Linked DNA regions of Schizosaccharomyces pombe. Changing the gene in region 1 together with any one later gene gives a genetic interaction. Each region holds a gene or a part of one and is shown in the gene's direction. Other genes may lie near its edges. The genes, in order: ksg1, xlf1 and irc6.

Region 1 (8,243 bases):
AATGTATAAAGGTGACTGTAATTTCCTTGGCACAATGTGTAAAGGTGATTGCGGTCGGCTTGTATAACTCAAAAAAAGATTTAGTGGTTACAATCTGGTTCGCATGGGTAGTCATTTGTTTTATACTCTTTGGTTGCGTCAAGGATGGTAGACTAAACTTAAATAAGGCACTCATCTGTTCCACATGCAGTATTTCGGCTGCTTTATTTTTCATTTTATTGCTTGGTAAGTGAAATTATCTTGCTAAACGCTAACATACAGTTTGTATTCCAATTTGGACACTTTGCCGTGCATTATCTGGGATGCTACAAGTGTTGGGTATACATGGCATTATCGCACTATTAGTAAACGGTTCAATGTCTTTATTTGGTAAATATTTCGGATGGAGAGGCTACGAAATCGAAGGGTTTGTGCTCTTTTTCTTTACGAAATGGGTTCGTTATATATTCCTGTAATTTACTCTAACCATATCAGAACGTCCAGGTGTACTCAAGAGGATGCGCAACACTACTGGGAATGTTATAGGTTTTATATTAGGTATGTGTATTCAAAAAAACTCTATGAATTATTTTTTACTTACCTGATTAGAAGGTATAGGAAATGCAAGTGGGCGGATAGGAAATGCGATTAGAGGTGCCAACGATAATAATGACATTCCCTTGGGGGAAATGGAAGTTGAAAGCGAAGTATAATTGCGTTATTAATGTAGTTGTCGCTACAGTTGGAAAACCTCTTTACGAAAATCATCAACGCAGAGAAGCTGCGGCGTTTTTTTAAAAATAAGCACCAACATTCTTTAATCATCCTCTTCCTTTATAAGTTTATGGAATATATGCTTAACTTATTCTTCCAGTTATCAAAAATTGCCAACCAATGCATTCTACGATGTTGGATAATGTGCATTGAGGACCGAAGTCTTTATTTATTATGTATGCGAGTCTAATTATGTGTCTTTTTTAATGGTACTCAAGTCACAAACAATAATGGTTTAACTTGTTTACGACAACTTAAAATCAACTAATGAAATCGAAAAACTCGTTGTTCCGCCTTGTTAAATTTACAAATTCATTGTCGTTTATTGCATTCATTTCTCCTTCATCTTGATTCTTAATGAATCAAGCTTAATTATCATTTTTTCTTTTTGTTTAATGGTTCAATTCAAACAAAATTAATGTTTACAAAATAATGAATAGCATAATAAAATATTCAGAACGATGGTTTGTTATAGTAATAACATGTGTCAGGAATACTGCACTACGATATGGCACACTACGTTGCGTATCACTATATGTCACATGTTTTATTTACACATCATATCATCTATGATACAACGTTAAAAAAGACCTCGTTGATAGTTTACTAAAGCGCGTGTTATTGTAGTATATAGATACGGCTCCTATTGAGGCTTAGTCCTCAGTTTAACTTTAAGCTACCTTTAGTGGATAGGTAACAGGATAACTCATTTATAAGAATACTTACATAAAAGAACTCGTTAATCTGCATCTATAATATAATAGATTACAGGTAAGAATTAATGCAATTTACGTATCGTTAAAGTAGATAATAAAGTGTGTAGCTGACAGTAAAACCGCACAACGACACTTCTTTCATTTCCTATGCTTTAAACAGCGTTATCGTTAGGAAACCGTATTTGTACCACTTGCTTCTTTAAAAGTGACCTGGTTGAAAGGAAGACTATATACATAAAGAGAATCGAAATCCGAAAGGGATATATCATTATATATTTGAAAATTTTGAAAAGTTGCTTTAAGGATAAAGACCATAAATATTGAATTAATGACTGCTTAAGCGAACTTTAAATAAGGTTGATATAACCGAATGCTGTAATTAAAAACATTCGAAACATCCTCATTTATTTACGATTTCGAATTCTCTAGTTTTCATCATTTGAAAATATCCTTTTGTTACAGTTGGACTACTTTTATTTACTCGATCTTTTTGATAGTTTAATTATGACTTGCGACTTATGATACCAAATTTAGATTCTTTTTGTGTGTTACACGAATATTATTATGTTTCAAGGTCAGTGGCTTAACAAAAACAAAATTGCAATTTGGAAACGAAAACAACCAATTTCCAGTCTTTCACAATAAGTGTAAAATGCGCTACCTTCACAATTTCACATGGTTTAATCTTCTGACAAATGGAGTTTATATATTTCATATCCGTCCAGGCGAATGAAAATGAATATGAAAAATTTTTGAAAATTAAATCATCTAAGTTAATCGTTGTATTATAGGAATATGATTTATTACATCACAACTTAAAAATTAGATACTAAATATTTTGGTATACATGCCTTCCAAAAATATAATATTTTAAATAAACAGAGGGGGCTGATAGTAAAATGTCATTATTATTAAATTTTTTTAATTTTTTCTGAATTTGCTAATTTATGTTTGTGAACGTCTTGTTTCTTTAATTCCAGTTATAATTTTATATTTTCTTTGTTTTTCACCCAGATAATACTCAATAAACAAATTTTTTTTTGTAAAACTTCATTATCATTCTTTATTTTACTAACTAATTTTTTAAAAAGGATATTGACGGACAAAAAACTCATTTAATGTACTATATCGTAATTACTTCATTTTCTCTCACGCATATACCCCAGAAAAAAAAGGCTCAAAAATTGATTTATAGAATAGTTAAAATAAAGATGGTATCCTTCAGTTAAATCTTGCGTTGGTTGTCCTTTAATGAAGATTTGTTCGTAAGCAAAATATATGAATTCGCTAGCAAGATATTGGCATTCATACCAACCCTTTTCTTTATGTTATATCTCCAAAATGAATTGTTTACAACACTAAATTGAAACAAATCAAACACACTTTGTTCCTATTAGGTGTAGTGGAAAATGCAATTCTAAACAATGGCACTTTATTTTTGATTCTGTGCTGAACAAATAATTCATATTTATAAACTGAATGGTGCATAATTTTCTCTCTCTGTAAAATTGATACGGTAAGTTGAAATTCAAGTAAAATATGTTTCCCGCATATTCAGCTACGATTCTGGTATAAAAGCTTCTAATGCTCTTCGTATATAAACTGAGTTATTCATTAAAACCTAAGTGATCTTTTAAGTTATTGAAATTAAATCATATTGAATTCCACACCCGAAGGTAATGCTATTCAACCAGCCAAGACGAAAATACTTGGTTTGACAATTTTTTTACTTTTATGTAATGATTTTCTCTACTCCATTAAGAATTTGCGTATGACTGTGTATACTCAGCGCTGATTCACATAGTAATATAAATCATTACCTTGATGAACTACTTCTCTAGGCTCCTTAAAAAAATAAATAAACTTATAGTTACTAAAAAAAGCATGATCTAAATCAAATGAATGAATATTTAGTTTATCTAAAATGTCCATGCAATATTAATTTTCGCACTCACAACGATGCAAATCATAACCCGGATAGCAAAATCTTATATAACAATAGTACAATAGTTGTATACTTGCAGTTATAAGCACTAATTTTACCGAATATGTGCAATTTTCTTTTGATGACATTGCCGTCAATTCGTAGTTTACTGACACTGATTCACCTACCCAGTACTCTCTTCACACCAGATATTGGTTATGCGAAATACGCACAATCCGAATGAAACTGAAGCATCAGAAGATGCAGAAAATGATACTCAAAGCGAATCCGACCTTAGTTTTGATCATGGATCAAGTGAAAAACTAAACCGAGCTTCATTACCAAAGACGCAAAATAGTGCCATCCCGCAGTCTAATGCTTTAAATACTACACCAAATGAGTCAACGTCTCAGATCGATTCATCGCCGAAGATTCCCTCTGCAGTCCCACATATCTCTACTCCAAATCCGTCTAGCGGTGCATCGACTCCTAACATAAAACGAGTTTCGGATTTTAAATTTGGCGAAATCCTTGGAGAAGGATCATACAGTACTGTATTAACAGCTACCGAAAACTCAACAAAAAGAGAATATGCTATTAAGGTGTTGGATAAAAGACATATTATCAAGGAAAAAAAGGAAAAATACGTCAACATTGAAAAAGAAGCTTTGTGCATCCTCTCTAAGCATCCTGGATTTATTAAGCTATTTTATACTTTCCAAGATGCTCACAATTTGTATTTTGTTTTGAGTCTTGCTCGAAATGGTGAACTGTTGGATTATATCAATAAGGTATGTATAAATAATGTTCATGCAGCTTGATGATGGATAGCTTACTGATTATTACAATCTTGTCTTTTTTCTTATTAAATGTTTTATTTTTTGCTTACACATAATTTAGTTGGGACGATTTAACGAAATATGTGCACAATATTATGCTGCACTTATCGTTGACTCAATAGACTATATGCATGGACGAGGAGTGATTCACCGTGACTTGAAGCCCGAAAATATTTTGCTGGATGATAATATGCGTACAAAAATTACCGACTTTGGTTCAGCAAAAATATTAAACTCTTCACATGGCAGTCATGAAGAAGACACACACCATGCTGACAAACCACAGGCTCATTCTCGATCGTTTGTAGGAACTGCTCGTTATGTATCTCCTGAAGTTTTAAGTGATAAAATTGCTGGTACGGCTTCCGATATTTGGGCGTTTGGTTGCATTCTTTTCCAAATGCTAGCTGGCAAACCCCCTTTTGTAGCAGGAAATGAATATTTGACATTCCAAAGTATTCTTCATTTGAGTTATGAGATACCACCTGACATATCAGATGTCGCTTCTGATTTGATTAAAAAACTGCTAGTTCTAGATCCTAAAGATCGCTTAACTGTTGATGAAATACACCAGCATCCGTTTTTTAATGGTATCAAATTTGATAATACCCTTTGGGAACTTCCTCCTCCCCGTCTTAAACCTTTTGGTCATACTAGCGTCCTCAGCCTTTCCGTTCCTAATGCATCTAACAAACACGAAAATGGTGATTTGACCTCGCCTCTTGGTGTTCCATCGATGGTTTCAGCATCCACCAATGCTGCACCCTCTCCGGTTGGTACTTTTAACCGAGGCACTCTATTGCCGTGTCAATCCAACCTTGAGGAGGAAAACAAGGAATGGTCGAGTATTCTTCAAGACGATGAAAAAATCTCAAAAATTGGAACCCTCAATGTTTATAGTATGTCTGGTATCAATGGAAATGATGCCTTTCGCTTTTTCTCCAGTCTTTTTCGAAAAAGGAAACCTCGGACCTTTATACTTACAAATTTTGGTCGATACCTGTGTGTTGCCTCGGACGGTGAAGGGCGAAAAACAGTTAAAGAAGAAATACCTATTAAGAGTGTAGGCATGCGTTGTCGGATGGTAAAAAACAATGAACATGGCTGGGTAGTTGAGACTCCAACAAAATCCTGGTCGTTTGAAGACCCGAATGGACCGGCTTCTGCTTGGGTTGAGCTTCTAGATAAGGCTAGCTCTATTTCTCTTCCATTCGGTAATCATTCTGTTACCAGCTTTTCAAGAAGCATTGCTAGAAGTGCTGTCTAATCTATCCTTTATGTCTATGAACACTTCCATCCATCCCCTCACTTTTTATTCTATCACTCTTTTTTCTGTTCTGTTCTGCATTAATTTTCTTACGACCTTATTGATGTTTCAAGAAATTCTTTTTAAGTTTTTCTCTTACGTTCGTTGTTTAATTCGAAAAAAAATCTTTATATCCGTGATCCTTCAGTGTGATTACAAAATTAGATTGCCGTATGATTTCTGTATTTTGTTATTAACGGTCAATTGATTTTATTTGCTTATTCTTATTATGGATCTATTTATTTTATATTTTTTACCTTAGCCTTAAAATGTTAAAATGGTAAAAGTTATCGATCCAAGAACATTTCACCGTTTACTAGTTAATATACCTCTACCTACGTAGTAAAAAAATTTAAAGAAATTATTCCCAAAAGCCAGTTGTACATTCTCTCAATTTATGATTAATCTACAGATTAAGTTAATTATGCAAGTATGACTTGTACATAAAAATTAGGTTTCGCTTAATATCAGAAAAAAAAACTTCAAGCATCAATTTACTAGTATGATAAATAATGAATTACTTCTCCAAGTATGTTTTTGCGACACGATCAAAGTTCTCGAGATTGACTGCGTACGCACGTAGAAATTCTAATTCTAAATCGTGAACATCTCTACCGACGAGAACCACGCTGTGCAATGGAGGACCTATATCATGCTCAGCTAACTCTTGCAATGTGCCTGCAAATATAACTTGATCATCGGAACCCATTCTTCCAACAGCCACACATAAAGAGTCTGGTGTGCATACTAAGGGTGGTTAACAATTAATAGAAAAACATTTTAAAATGAACGTACTATTTTCTTGACGATCCTCTTCGACTTCCAACATCTGCTGAGCAGCCAAACTAGCAGACATATAGCGAGGAGGTTCGTATACTTTCCTGCCTCGAGCAAGATTTTCCCAGCTTTGCTCCTTTACCTTGATATCTTTTATTGTCAGAACACCAACTACTATAATCTATTAACTTACCCAGCAAAACTAAGGTATGAAGTCCCAAACTAACGTTCTCTTTAATGTGGTCATAGAAACTTTGAGGACGGTAATTGTTTTCGAAGAAGACAAGACTGACTGTTTGACCAAACTTGTAGAGTTGTAAACCACATGCACCAATAGCGTTCATAATGGAGGCATTGTGTATCATGCGAACAGGAATCTTAAGCTCACGAGCTCTTATAACTAGATCAGCATGAGTGGTAGCTCTAAACAATTAGTAATACAATAAAAAATAAACGATTATTAAAAGCACGGGTTCTCAAATTAAAGAGTCATTAGTATTCACTACAATTAAATCTTTACAGATCATAGGGTTCGATGACAAACTGAATGTTCTTTAAAGAGACAATTCGCAAAAACCAAAGCTTTTTTAATAACTGAGAGATGCTGTCGTAAGGGCTAAAAGCCTGTAATAAACAGCTGAGTCAAATTTCTCAAAGTAAATAAAAAAAAGATAAATAAAAGGAACATGTACTTTCAAGTAAACATACCCCATCGGATCACCAACAACAAGCATTGCAACATCACAATTGTCAGCGTCTTTCAAGATTTCATCACTACTGCTCTCTACCATTTCACGATCAGCAAGGATAACCTCTTTACCATAAAGTTCTTCTAATTTTTCCTTCTGAACGAGCAAAATGGACGTATATGCCTCAAGATATATACGCTGACATTTTTTTACTGTTTCTAGGCCTCTTAAGGTAATATCCTTTTCATCAAATAATCCTAATCCAATTAAATAAAACATTTAAATAATATCTGGATATTTTCAAATGAAGTTTTAGAAAGACAACGACTTCCTGGCTTGGAGGAGGTGAAGTAGTTGAAGAAACGCAAAATCGACATGGACTCGTTCAATGCTGCCGGCTGGTGTCTTAGACAAAAGGGGTTCTTCATTAAAAAAAATACTAGTTTTAAGTTTTAAACCATTTTGTTACGGCAACTTTTTCATCTCTCGAATTTTTTCTTCATGTGCAGCACGGGTTTTTGCTAAGAATTCCTGGCGCTCGACATAACCATCTTTATTGGCGATCCGAAGCTCATCTTGAATATCCTGTTCCTTAATATACTTTGACCAATTTTGCTGTGCTTGTTCAAGAGTGTTTAGCTTGTTTTTCTTTAAAACCTTTTGGGCTGACGAGCTATCAAGTGGAGATTTACGGCGTTTCCTTATCAATGAGTGTTTCTTCTTAGGTGTTTCAGCATAGGAATTTTCATCCCCTTCTACGGCAACTGAGGAATTCGATTCTGCAAGTTCATTAGTCTTCAGTTCCACTTCGGTTGTAGACTGTACCGGTTTCTCAATTGCCTCGGATTCATTTGATTGTTGAGGGATTAATTTATCATTTCTTTCTCTTTTATTTTTTTTTGCTATATTTTTAAGAGTAACATCTTCAGATTCACTGGTTGCAATTTTTGATTTAGTACTTTGAACTTGCGAGGCTTCTTTTTCCTCTACGAACTCCTCCTCACTTGAATCAGCATCAGAAAACGACGACTCCGTATCCGTACTGTCACCTGGGACAAATTCCGTATCCTCCTCCTCTTGTTCAAGGCCGAAATCAATTAATTTCTCTGTCATTGAAGTGTAATGGAGCAGGAAAGCGAACTGCTGTCCCTCAATACGTTGGCACGCATTCTGACCTTGTATTTCAGTTCAGAAAAGGGAACCAAAATTACTCCAAGTGCTTTAGAATTAATTACTCAA
Region 2 (6,634 bases), 1.2 Mb from region 1:
TGATGAACGGCCGCTTTTATACTGAGATTCTTGTCATCCGAAAGAAGGACGGCAGGAATAAGTTTTTCTTCTTGATAGTATATGCAGCAATCAAGGATAGCGTCATCACCTTTTTCAGTAGATGAGCAGTGTTCATGTACTTTCTGCCCACGAAGACTTGAAACATTAGATCGAAAGCATTGCAAAAGAAAGTTATGAGCTTGTCTAGCCAAATAACCACAAGTAGAGGAGGATTCTGACTTAAGGCCATCTAGCTCTTGAAGGACCGTCCATGGTAGTACGACAACAAGTCGAGGGCAACGAGCTGTAAGAAATTCAATAAGGTTTTGACAAAGGCTCAGATGCGACAAAAGGAAATTTGTATCAAGCACAAAAAGCCCCAAAGGTTTACTGTAGCGAGCCGGTTTGGAAGCTAAAGAAGTGGAGGAAGCAAAAGGAGAAGGCGAGGGAGATTGAAAAGAGGAGGGATTGATTTCACTTAATGAAGGAATATGCGAAGTTGACCATCTGTTACGCGCACGTTCAGAGTTGATGGACTCAGTGACAAAATCTATGCCAGCCTGGTCGTCTATTTCCATTCGATCCATTGCTAGCAAGTGACAAAAAGCAACTGTACGTGCAGTCTACTATACAGATACATGAACGAGTAATACTCAAATTGATGAACTAATATGAAAGCATCAACTGAAAAAATAAAAGATAAAAATAGTTAAAAGTAGGAAAGGCTTGAACAATCACATAAAACAAACCCTACTTGATATTCGAGTTCACACAATGATTGAAGTTTGGAAAAACCAATTTTGCAGCATATTTTTTTTTGGGACAATGAAGAAAAGCAAGATGTCTAATTTTGTATATATTAGCCAAATGTATTATTATATTGCATGTGTGCATATAAACAAAGCAATTACCTGCGTACACTGTGCATGAACGCTTAAAAAATATTACATACCTTCAATAAGTAGAAACAGATATTAAATAATATCTCGATTCCCAGTTTTGAAGAGAGATTTAAACAATAGTAGAGCAAATTCTTATAATTGGTGATTTGTTTCTTAATACACGGTTTTTCTATAAAGCGTCCACGACAGAGCACAATAGAATTTCTGTAAAAAAGAAGCAATACTTATAAAGCGTCAGATTTAAAATACTAAAGAAACTATCTCAATACGCTAGTACTTATGGATTGTTGATGTCCTAGTTTCACGCGTTTGTTATAGAGCGACCCCGATTAATGACACCATAAAGCTCAGTAAAGACGTATATCGCACTCTCGTTAAAACTGATATTTTAGCAACACACTATGCGATGTTACATATTACTATATATCGTATGTACGAGAAGCACTAAAATAAACGTCCGTTGGTTTCTAAGTTTGTTCATTAGTTTACAAAGCTCCAATTGACTACATTTATCAATCTAATTAGTGCCAGTTAGAGCGTTCGCTGAATTTTGCGATATTAAATTTTATTATTATAAGGACTCCTTAGTAAACGATCCATCGGTTAATTGTTCTGTCTTTAAGAAATAGTCATTCTCCCAATCCTCGAATACTTTATTTGTGATCATTTCTTCTTTTTGTTTGTTAATTTCTCTAAACAAAACACTTGTAAAATAAATTGTTCGTTAATATCTTGTTCTGTTTATTTCATTGTATAAAAATAATTAACAAAATCAATGAATCAAACCTTGTTATAACAATATAACAATAATGAATGATATTACTGTTTCTTGTGCATTTGTTTCAGAAGTCAAAGTTTTAGATCCAGCTAGAGGGAATAGTCTATTGAGCTTATGCATTCAAATTTGTTATTTATCAGAATTTAAATTAGAAAAACACTTAAAGCGTTGTGCAGTTTGTGTGTAAAATTCGTGTGTTCAAAAATTTTTTCTTCGCTCTTTTTACTATAAATAGAGGGCATGAACCCTTTAGAATAATTTGAAAGTTGCACCCATCGAATTTGATTCAGTCTGAGTCTCTTTTATAAGTTACATTGATTGCCGAATTGAATACGATGGGGAGAAAAAAACTCCTTTCTTAAAGTGTATTTCAGATTCTTTTTTCCTTTGAAATGCCCCGTGGAAAGGAAAAATATCTATTTTTCTTTAAAAATTAATTAATCAACTTTGTTAAAAATGATCCACTCAGAGAAGTAGAACTTTGTTGTAGCCTGAGAAGCCGTGAACTTCTGCTGTAGTTTTCATGATTCGTAATTGCAAATCATCTCGATAAGTGCTTTCAAACTTGTTATGTATATGTACATCTTCCTAATTGTTAACTGCAGAAGCCAAGCAAATAGTAAATAAAAAAGAAGGAGCCTACAGCACCCCGGATTCCCATGTTGTCTCCAACCATAGTACTAACGAGGCCCTCAGACGCTTAACTGCAGTGATCGGACGGGAACTGGTGTTTTCGCCTAGGTATGGCCGTAGACACACAGTTAGTAATTTAGTAATATATAATGTAAATCAGGAGTAGTTAATGTAGTCGATGAAATTCATTTGTGGAATGTAAATCCCGCTCAGTATATACTGACTATGTCCTCTAAGTTCATACATCCTTTTTGCACTCGAATTTATAAATAATAACGGTTGTGTATTTTCAAATTGAATTATTCAAAAAAACCCAAAAAAATTATTTAACAAAAAGGTCGATCCCGCCAGGAGTCGAACCTGGAATCTCTTGATCCGTAGTCAAGCGCCTTAACCATTGGGCCACGAGACCTTTTTGTTGAACACCTCTGATTTTAGTTTAAATTATAAGAAGAAATGACATTGCTTCAAAAAAACTAAGAGCTCTGATTTTCATCTCTTTCTAACAAACAATGCGAAATCCTTTTGGAAGTAGTATGTACATTCATTGTATGTGGTTCCCTGCCTCTTACCTTCAGACGTTTCGTAGTCGTTAATGAGTTAGGCATAATTAATTTGCGTTTTTATATCACATACTTCTTCATTTACCATTGACGTTACAATGAAGTAGCAATAGCAAACATATATATACTTTTAGTTAGAAAAAATATATATATATAAACACAGTAGCACGCTTGTGCAGAATATAAGAGCTACATGTAAACACGGATGATGATTGTAGGTCAATCTTCGGAACAAGAGGGCCTTGAAGTTATCCAGAATGGATATCTCTTCTCAAATTAGAAACAATACTTCTTCTGAACATACCGCTGAAATGTCCCCTAGTCCACGAAATTCTGTGAGCAGAAGAAAAAACCGAACGGAGTCATTCTTATCTACTTAATAATTTTTTCGTTTTCAAATTAAGCTTCAAAAAAAAATAGCTCTCAAATTACTTGGTAGTTCCTTTCTGTCCTTGTTTGTGTTGTCTTTCGCTGGCTACTTTCAAACCACTAGACAATATTTTACAAAAGCATTCCAATTGATCTAATTTTCACATTCTAAAGTTTAAAGAATAACTTGGCATAGTTATTGTTTACTCTGGCATATATCGGTTGTTTAATTTTCTCATCAATACCAATACTACTTTGCAAACTCGAATTCTCAACTGTGACCATTGCTGAGCTTATTTCTTCTATTTTAGTGATTTAGCTTTAATATTTTCAATTGAATTGCTGTTATAATCAATTTGAGATACTGAACAAGACATTGCATTTGTTTATACTTGATGTCTTGGGTGCAGCTACGTGGCCACAGGTTTCATTTTATACAGGCTAGCTTCGACGCAGAAAGTAATGAGGCTGTACAAGTCATTCATATTACAGACCTAGTGCGTGTTTGGTCCTGTACATGTAGCCGCAATCAAATCGTCAATCAGGCAGAGGTAAGATTAGTTAACAACTACATTGCTACTATGCTTTCAGGGGAAAAGCAGTTATAAATGCAACCAAATTAACACCTTTCTCTCAACCAAGAGTTATATTAACTTTTAAACAGAGCGAAAGATGTCCTATCGATCCATTTCAAACGTTTGAAACGTTAGTCGATGTACTGGCTGAAGTGCTGGTGAATGTTTCTTCTGAAAGTAGAATTCAACTACGAGGCTCAAATGACGAGGGATCTTTAAAAATTTTCTGTACCTCAAAAATAGCTAAAGATATTTTCTTAGAATGGAATTGGACCCTTTGGCTTACTCCACCAGAGACGATTGCCAAGATGGTATGGTTTCCTCTTATCAATCATCACTTATTCGAGTCAGAAACCGACACTAGTCCAGGATCGTTAATGTCCATTATTCGTGATCAAAAGTCTTTATTGAATGACAAGACTTGGTTCAAGGAAGCATTAAATGAAAGATCCTCGTCTTCCAATCCTTCCACACCAAGAAAACGTTCAGCATTTGCAGATATTATTTCTCCAAAACGACCTCGTACTCGTTATGATTTTGTTTAAAAAAATCTAATGGTATATTGAACTATGAAGATATCTATTTAACTCGATCACATGTTTAACTACAGCGTTTTGTACAATTTACCTCAGGATGAAGAGACTATGAAAACGTATATACTAATCAGAAAGAGATGTCCGTTCTCTATTGGAGACACATAGAGGGTTTTCCATAGACTTTAAAAAAGTTTACAGAATTGGCCTCTATATGTACTATGACTTACGGTTTATTCTAGCAACACATTGTAACCCTACGGGAATGGAACTTCCGTAAAACACGGTACATTCTAACCCTTCTTCTTTGGATAAGAAGATGTAAAGTTATTAGAAGGTTGCAATAATATAAAATAAAGTTTCAAAGAGTTTTATGTAGCTTAACTCATCTCATATGATTATATTTGACAATATTATAGTTTTTCTTGTAAGGTCCATAAGATAGAACATTCATTTCATCCTTATAACAAATCAAAAATAAGTCCCAAGTTACGACACATCCCAAGGTTAGTTATTTACCCAAAGGAGAATTGTATGATAGTTGCTTTAAAGGCGTACATTTAAATAATATTCATAAGAAGCGTGACAATCCGAATTTTTTTCCCGTAACACTTCGGATTCTTATATATAAAGGAGAGGATCCAGAAAATCTTGGAACATAAAATAAGGAATAACATTTTAAAATCAATTTGACAAAAAGAAAAAGTAAAAAGGGTTCAATTCAACGCTCTTTTATACCTCTAATTTAACAAACGTCTCAGGAACAAGCCCGCTTCTTCCTGAGGCATCATCGTATGCAATCAACCAACCATCGCTGGATTCCGACAAAATACAAAGTCTCTGACCAGTAGTAAAACCGAGTTCATTATCATGGAGGGGCTCGAAATCATAAAGCGCAACGGCGTCAGCAAGGACGTTGAAAGAAGCAGAAGGGTGAGTGCTTTCAGATTCTTCAGCATCGTAAAATACTTCCGTATCATCTATTGATTCGGAGTCATCCGATCCTTCGATTGTTTCATCAAAGGTATCATCTACAAATCGCTCCTCCTCCTCTTCAATCACACGAGCATGAAACCCATAGTGCAGTTCATGATCTGGGGGGTACAAGTAATCACGACCCACAACTAAATAATCCTCTTCAGTCTCTTCCGCCATGAAGCAAAAATTGCTAGTGTCACATATAACGATTTAAATTAATCAAAAGAAATCATACGGATCAACGACAGCGTTAAATTTACACTATACTTAGCAAGTCCATAAAAAAACAGGTGTATTGGCGAAAAGTCAACAGATGAACAAATGCTCTCTTCAACGTTGAGTTTTTGTCTTCAAATGACTTTTGAAAAGGAAAAAAAGAAAACAAAACAAATAAAAACAAAAATAAAAGAACCAAAAAGAATGATAAAAAAAATCAAAGCGGAAAATAAAAAAAACGCGGTATTGACGGATAATGACAATTCTGCCTAAGAAATTTAGTTTTTCTCTAATCGGCTGCCTGCATATGATTATATGAATGTAGTTTTAACAGATTTGTACTTGTTAAAATGAAATTTCCATAAGGAAGAGTTTTCGCGTGACTGGGAAACGGATGGCTTGATATCACAAATTCCGGCTTAGCAGTCAATACCGCAAGAAGGCAAGTTAAATCCGTAAATAAACAATTTTGACAAAGAGCTGCCAGTTAATTGTAAAACATACGATGTAAAAACCTTTATTGTTGTATAAAAATAGTTCTTACCTTTGCGACCTGCTTTTCTTTATAACAGGAGCATAAGGTGCGCAATAAAAAACCCATTAATTTATAATCCCATTAAACTTTTAATAACTATTCACATAATGGTAAACTTTTTGCACTGAGATCCACCATATAGTAATTCATCGCCAATAGACCTGAGCAAAAAATATTGCACAAGAACAAAACATGATGTCAAATAACACTAAAGCATTCCCTAGGTAAAAGTATCGAAACAGATAATCGTAATGAAATGCCCTTAGTTACTTTAGTAAAACTGTCAAGAGATCATAAAACTGAACCAAACCAGAGGGCATAACTTTACGTGCCATCCTTTACCAATTCGTAAATCAAAAATTGATTATGTAGGTGCTTGCTAAATAGTTTGTACAGTCATTTGAGAGAGGAAAAAATTATAAGGAATAGAAGAATCCACACAACGTTCCATTTGGAACTCTCATCATTATCATTCAAGCCGCATAGAAAAATAGTCAAATCAATTGTGAAACATTGACAAAAGATCAGATTTGCTAGAACATATGTTTTTAA
Region 3 (4,590 bases), on another chromosome or scaffold:
GATATTTCCTCTCCTTGACTATTGTCAGAAAATTTCTTTGTCTCTAATGAATTAGGCGTCAAAAAAAGATTCGCTAATTGAACATTTGCCTCTTTGCTTAACGTAGAAGATGAGGGTGTCGTATCCTGCTGAGAGAGCATACTTAATAACCTTTTTGAATTTGAGTCTCCTTCCGAATTATATGATTGACCTGAGTTATCGGAATTTCGAGCTAAAAACTGAGTCTGAGATTGAAAAGGAGGAAGAGAAGAAATTTGTTGAGTCTGATGACCATTTACATAGGGAGAAGAAGATCCGTATGCTGGTTGCGGAGTTTTGCCTAAACCATAGGAACTAACGGAAGTCGAAGTGGGAGGATAAAAAACTTGATGATAAACAGTACTTGGCGAGGGCAATTCCATTGGAGAAGGCATGTCGCTAGCGGCAAATAAATGCTGAACAGAATTTTGGTCTTTAAGTAAATTTGAATACATACTCTGCTGAAAGTGATTATTCAACACAGGTTTATTAGTTAACATGTTGTTTTGAGAAACAACTCTTGGAAAAGAAGCAGATGGATTTTTTGGATCCAATCCAAGGTAAGCAAAAGGATCGAAACTGTTATTATCATGCGATAAACGAGAATTGCTGCTTTGAATGGGGGGATTAAGAGGAAGGTTCGACACAGGAGGAAGTTGAATTGGAGATTTAGGTTCATTTCCTTCATTTAATAAATGCAAGATTTTCTGTTTAATGTCAAAAGAAGAATGTGATTCAACTGGTGGCTGAGGAAAAGTTGAAGGTTGCGGAGTAGCAAGGTCTGAAGGTGCTGTCGAAGATTTCAAAAGAGAAAGCAGTTGGGAAGAAGCATCAGCATCAACATCAACGGAAATGTTCTTTTCTTTGGTAGTGTTATTGGCAATATTCCTCTTCTTAATCCATTTCTTCAATGGCGCCAAAAATGGGATTACCATGTAAAATTTGTTTTTCATGGTCTGAGGTTTATTTTTTTTGAATGTAGGAAGATCCATAAGATTATGCCATTCAATTTTACTAATTTCTTTTCTTGTACGAGATTCAAATCTTGTATCCAAAGATATTCCAGGAATAATATACAATCGAACGTTTTGTCCACGTATAGTCATATCAATAAATTCATTAGGATTTATACGGCTAGAACAGTCAAAGCCTGTTTCTTCATATACTTCACGAATAGCACAATCAACATCAGATTCATCTTTATCAATTTTTCCCTTAGGAAATCCCCAGCCGGATGATGCTTTCCATCCTTTGACAAGTACGCATTGCTGCATTGACATATCAAGCATTATAGCTCCGCGGACAGGAATACGAGTCTTATATCGTAAAAAATCATCAAACGCCTCTTCATGGACCTTACTCCACTTCCACAATAAAGGACAGTGAGCAAAAAGCTTTGCACTAAAAACACGCAAACCTAGTGATGGCAACTGATCGTTTTGCGCACGTATAAAATCTTCATAAAACCAATGAGCTTGTTCGATTTGAAAACAAAGTCGTTCAACGCTACTTTGCTCCTCTGCTGGTAAATTCAAGATAAATCTAGCTGATAAATCATCCAGCACTTGCGAAAACGTGGCATTTGTGAACGACATATTTCTTTTAATATATAGTAGTCTATTGTTTGCATTTAAAATTCTAAGTCACTCCAAAGCACGACAAATTCGTCAACTTTAATTTTTGTGCGTCTTGGTATTTAAAGCCATTTATGCGTGTGCGTATAACACAGAGTTAGGGACACGTAAAATTACGTACCAACCTTCGTTAGTGATAAACTAAACCATTATTGATTTAGGAATGTATCACACTGCGCTATACTATTGCTCAATCCTTGTTTCATTAAACTGTTAGACTGTAGTTAAAATCACAATTTGCCTTACCTTTAGGTCTTTCGAGAATTTATTTATCCACCAAAAACTTGTTTAATATTCTACAGAACTGATTGAAAATATAAAAAAGCGAATTAATTTTTGCTAAGTACATAAAATCATATGCGAGTTATTTTGGTTATAGGTCGCTCTAATTCTGGAAAGCTAGATTTTATTAAGGGTAAATATTAGTGTTCTATTTGCAATTACTAATTGAAAAGCTTTGACGGGTTCTTTACCGAAGGGGTTAGATGACGAGGCATTTAACAATGATCATTCTGGCTTGATTCATAAGTATAATATCAGAAATAAATATTTTGAAGCTTCGGTTGGTATTTGGATTGAAGAATATTCTAATTTAGCTGAAACTTTGGATGCTTATAGTTCTGAAGAAGCGAAGGAAGTTATTGATAGCTTAGGTGCCATTGTATATACTTTTCGAAGTTTTGATGAAGCTGAGTGGTCTCTTTTTAAAAATTTTATAGATAAACTACAGCTAGAGATTCCGGTAATTGGGTTGCACATGTCAGATGAAAAATTACTAGAACCACCTGATGTGTTTACCCCAGAATATATTTCTATCAGCGAGGAAGGAGTGAATGAATTCAATGGTAAAGTCAACCAATCTTCTATTTATTAACAAGTCTCTTTAGAGAAAGTAGGACTGGACCGTGTTCGAGAAATTCTCGATTGCTGCGAATGGAACTTGTCACAAGTTGATAAAAGTTTCTCGGAAGAAAAGGATGATGCCGGAGATTTCTATCTCCCGGAACGATTCAAAGGAAGTCCAGACATGCAATCGACGGATCTGGATAATTTGATGAAAGAAATGAACCAAATTAGAGGTTGGTAACTCCTTGAGTCGACTAAACTAACAACGAAATTTAGATGCTGACCTGGAAAAAAATGAGAAAAAGGCCAAGGCTTTAAATCTTTTAGAAAAATTGTTAGGCGATGAATTCGAGGAAAATGATTATGAATCGCTGTAGAAACAAGGCCTTTGTTCGTATCCGGAGAATACATGTTGTCGCTGGAGCACAAATTGATGTATAATAACTATTTGAGTTTGCAAGAAAGGTTCAATTAAGTTTTATCAAAGTATTTTTTACTAAAATCTAAATCTGCTGTATTGAAAGAGGACCTATTAGCAACTTAAAAAAAATTCGTAAGTAAAGCTCAGTCACAAATTGTGATAATTTTGGTCGTATTTCATTATTATAGACATTATAAATCCAACACAATGGACTACATTTTCAATGTACAAGGTTCGTCAATAAAATAATTCCCACATGGCATTTTTCGTATTTAAATAACGGCCACAGTCATTCACTAGACATTTTGACTGAGATCGTTTACTGGTTTTCAAAACTTTTGCACAAGAGCCACAATAGACGTGACCACACTTTGTTGCCCATAATGCAGATTTCTCTTTGCTTTTGGATGTTCCTAATGGTTCCTGACATCTTGGACAAACCATCAATGTATCATTGTTAAAGCTTCTAGTAAATCCAGATTTTGGAGGGCCTGGAGGCTTGTAAGACTGTTTTATATTTTCTAAAGAAGAAGTAAAATCATCATATGATTCTTCAAAATGGTTAGAGAAATATTCGTCGTCTGAACCGTTAGTCCATTCTGGATGTATAGCGTCAAATCTCATTCGGTTCACAATCAACTGGAAAAGAGAAGGGGATAAGGAATTAACAGAACTAAACTCAGGAAATGTCCTGGCAATCATTCCCATCAAATCTCGACGTGAAGAAGAACGACGAGTGGACACCTGAGGACCTAAGTAAATCATGTCTTCCAAATACGATAAATGATTTGAAGGAAAGTTACGAGACCGTTCATTCCTTCTCCGGTTCATACGCCTTCTTCGAGGACTTAGAACAGGAGATGATGGAAAGCTGTCATCAGGAATAGCATCCAAATCAATGATATTTGTTGAAGAAATAGAAGTTTCGACTGGTGGAGAAGGTGATCTCGTCAAATCAATTACACTGCTTTCATCTATTCCATTGCTTCCATTAAATTGCATTGATGTGTGAAAAAAGATACACAATTGTTTCCTGTCAAGTAATTGACAACGGGCAAAAAATTAAGTCGATTTATTTGTATATATTTTGGCCTTGCATATATTAACGAAACGGTATTATTTAATATAAAGCTCTAATGTATTGCTGTATATCAAAATACCGCAGACCAACAGTTCGGTGCATTTTTAAGGCAATGTCCAGTATGCTTTATTATTTATAAACTAATGGCTAGTAAAGAAACGTAAATTAGAAGTCGCATTTCTTTGTTTACACATTATCTTTATAAAAAGGAAATGACCTTATGTGATAATTTACTGAGAAGATCAAACGCCAAAGAAGATATGGCGAATAGAGGAATTTTACGAGCTTAATTTAGCAAGAAGAACCAAAAAAATATGCCTCTAGTAGACGATATGGATTTTTTATTAAAGCACAGAAAATGAATTTAAAATACTAGACGATATTTGATAGTACAATTGTTGAAGAATTAGGATTGTATTTATTAAATCCGCTAGATTCTGAAGTTAAACTTTCACAAATGAGTAATTGGAACATCAGCGCTTGAATATCAAGTTCCTGTCTTGAATTTTTTTGAGTATAAATATGATAAATCAAATAATGGATAACACTGCTTTTAGACCAGCATCAAAAGCGAGCGACATTAACAAAGA

Evidence for each region.
Region 2: mutations in ksg1 (region 1) and xlf1 together harm fitness more than expected from each alone (negative genetic interaction), as found in Schizosaccharomyces pombe (one large-scale study listed by BioGRID).
Region 3: mutations in ksg1 (region 1) and irc6 together harm fitness less than expected from each alone (positive genetic interaction), as found in Schizosaccharomyces pombe (one large-scale study listed by BioGRID).

Annotation. Positions count from the first base shown.
Region 1 is NC_003421.2:2,101,627-2,109,869, reverse strand, and holds ksg1 (serine/threonine protein kinase Ksg1), read left to right. Parts: upstream 1-3,579; 5' UTR 3,580-3,611; coding exon 3,612-4,184; intron 4,185-4,293; coding exon 4,294-5,499; 3' UTR 5,500-5,932; downstream 5,933-8,243. Other genes in the region: diphthine synthase Dph5, read right to left, coding at 6,056-6,285, 6,334-6,465, 6,509-6,738, 7,024-7,283; Swr1 complex subunit Swc5, read right to left, coding at 7,470-8,117; FANCM-MHF complex subunit Mhf2 , read left to right, coding at 8,127-8,243. UniProt on the Schizosaccharomyces pombe protein: Involved in the control of sexual development and cell growth under stressed conditions. Phosphorylates AGC kinase gad8 at 'Thr-387', activating gad8 kinase activity and promoting sexual development.
Region 2 is NC_003421.2:921,943-928,576, reverse strand, and holds xlf1 (XRCC4-like factor xlf1), read left to right. Parts: upstream 1-3,485; 5' UTR 3,486-3,640; coding exon 3,641-3,796; intron 3,797-3,909; coding exon 3,910-4,365; downstream 4,366-6,634. Other genes in the region: swt1 (RNA endoribonuclease), read right to left, coding at 1-587; skb5 (Shk1 kinase-binding protein 5), read right to left, coding at 5,086-5,508; EKC/KEOPS complex subunit Cgi121, read right to left, coding at 6,631-6,634.
Region 3 is NC_003424.3:2,463,339-2,467,928, forward strand, and holds irc6 (recombination protein Irc6), read left to right. Parts: upstream 1-1,886; 5' UTR 1,887-2,009; coding exon 2,010-2,067; exon of another isoform or gene 2,068-2,107; coding exon 2,108-2,497; exon of another isoform or gene 2,498-2,539; coding exon 2,540-2,731; exon of another isoform or gene 2,732-2,774; coding exon 2,775-2,875; 3' UTR 2,876-3,156; coding exon of another isoform or gene 3,157-3,921; 3' UTR 3,922-4,090; downstream 4,091-4,590. Other genes in the region: mRNA-decapping complex catalytic subunit Dcp2, read right to left, coding at 1-1,613; SUMO-targeted ubiquitin-protein ligase subunit Rfp1, read right to left, coding at 3,157-3,921.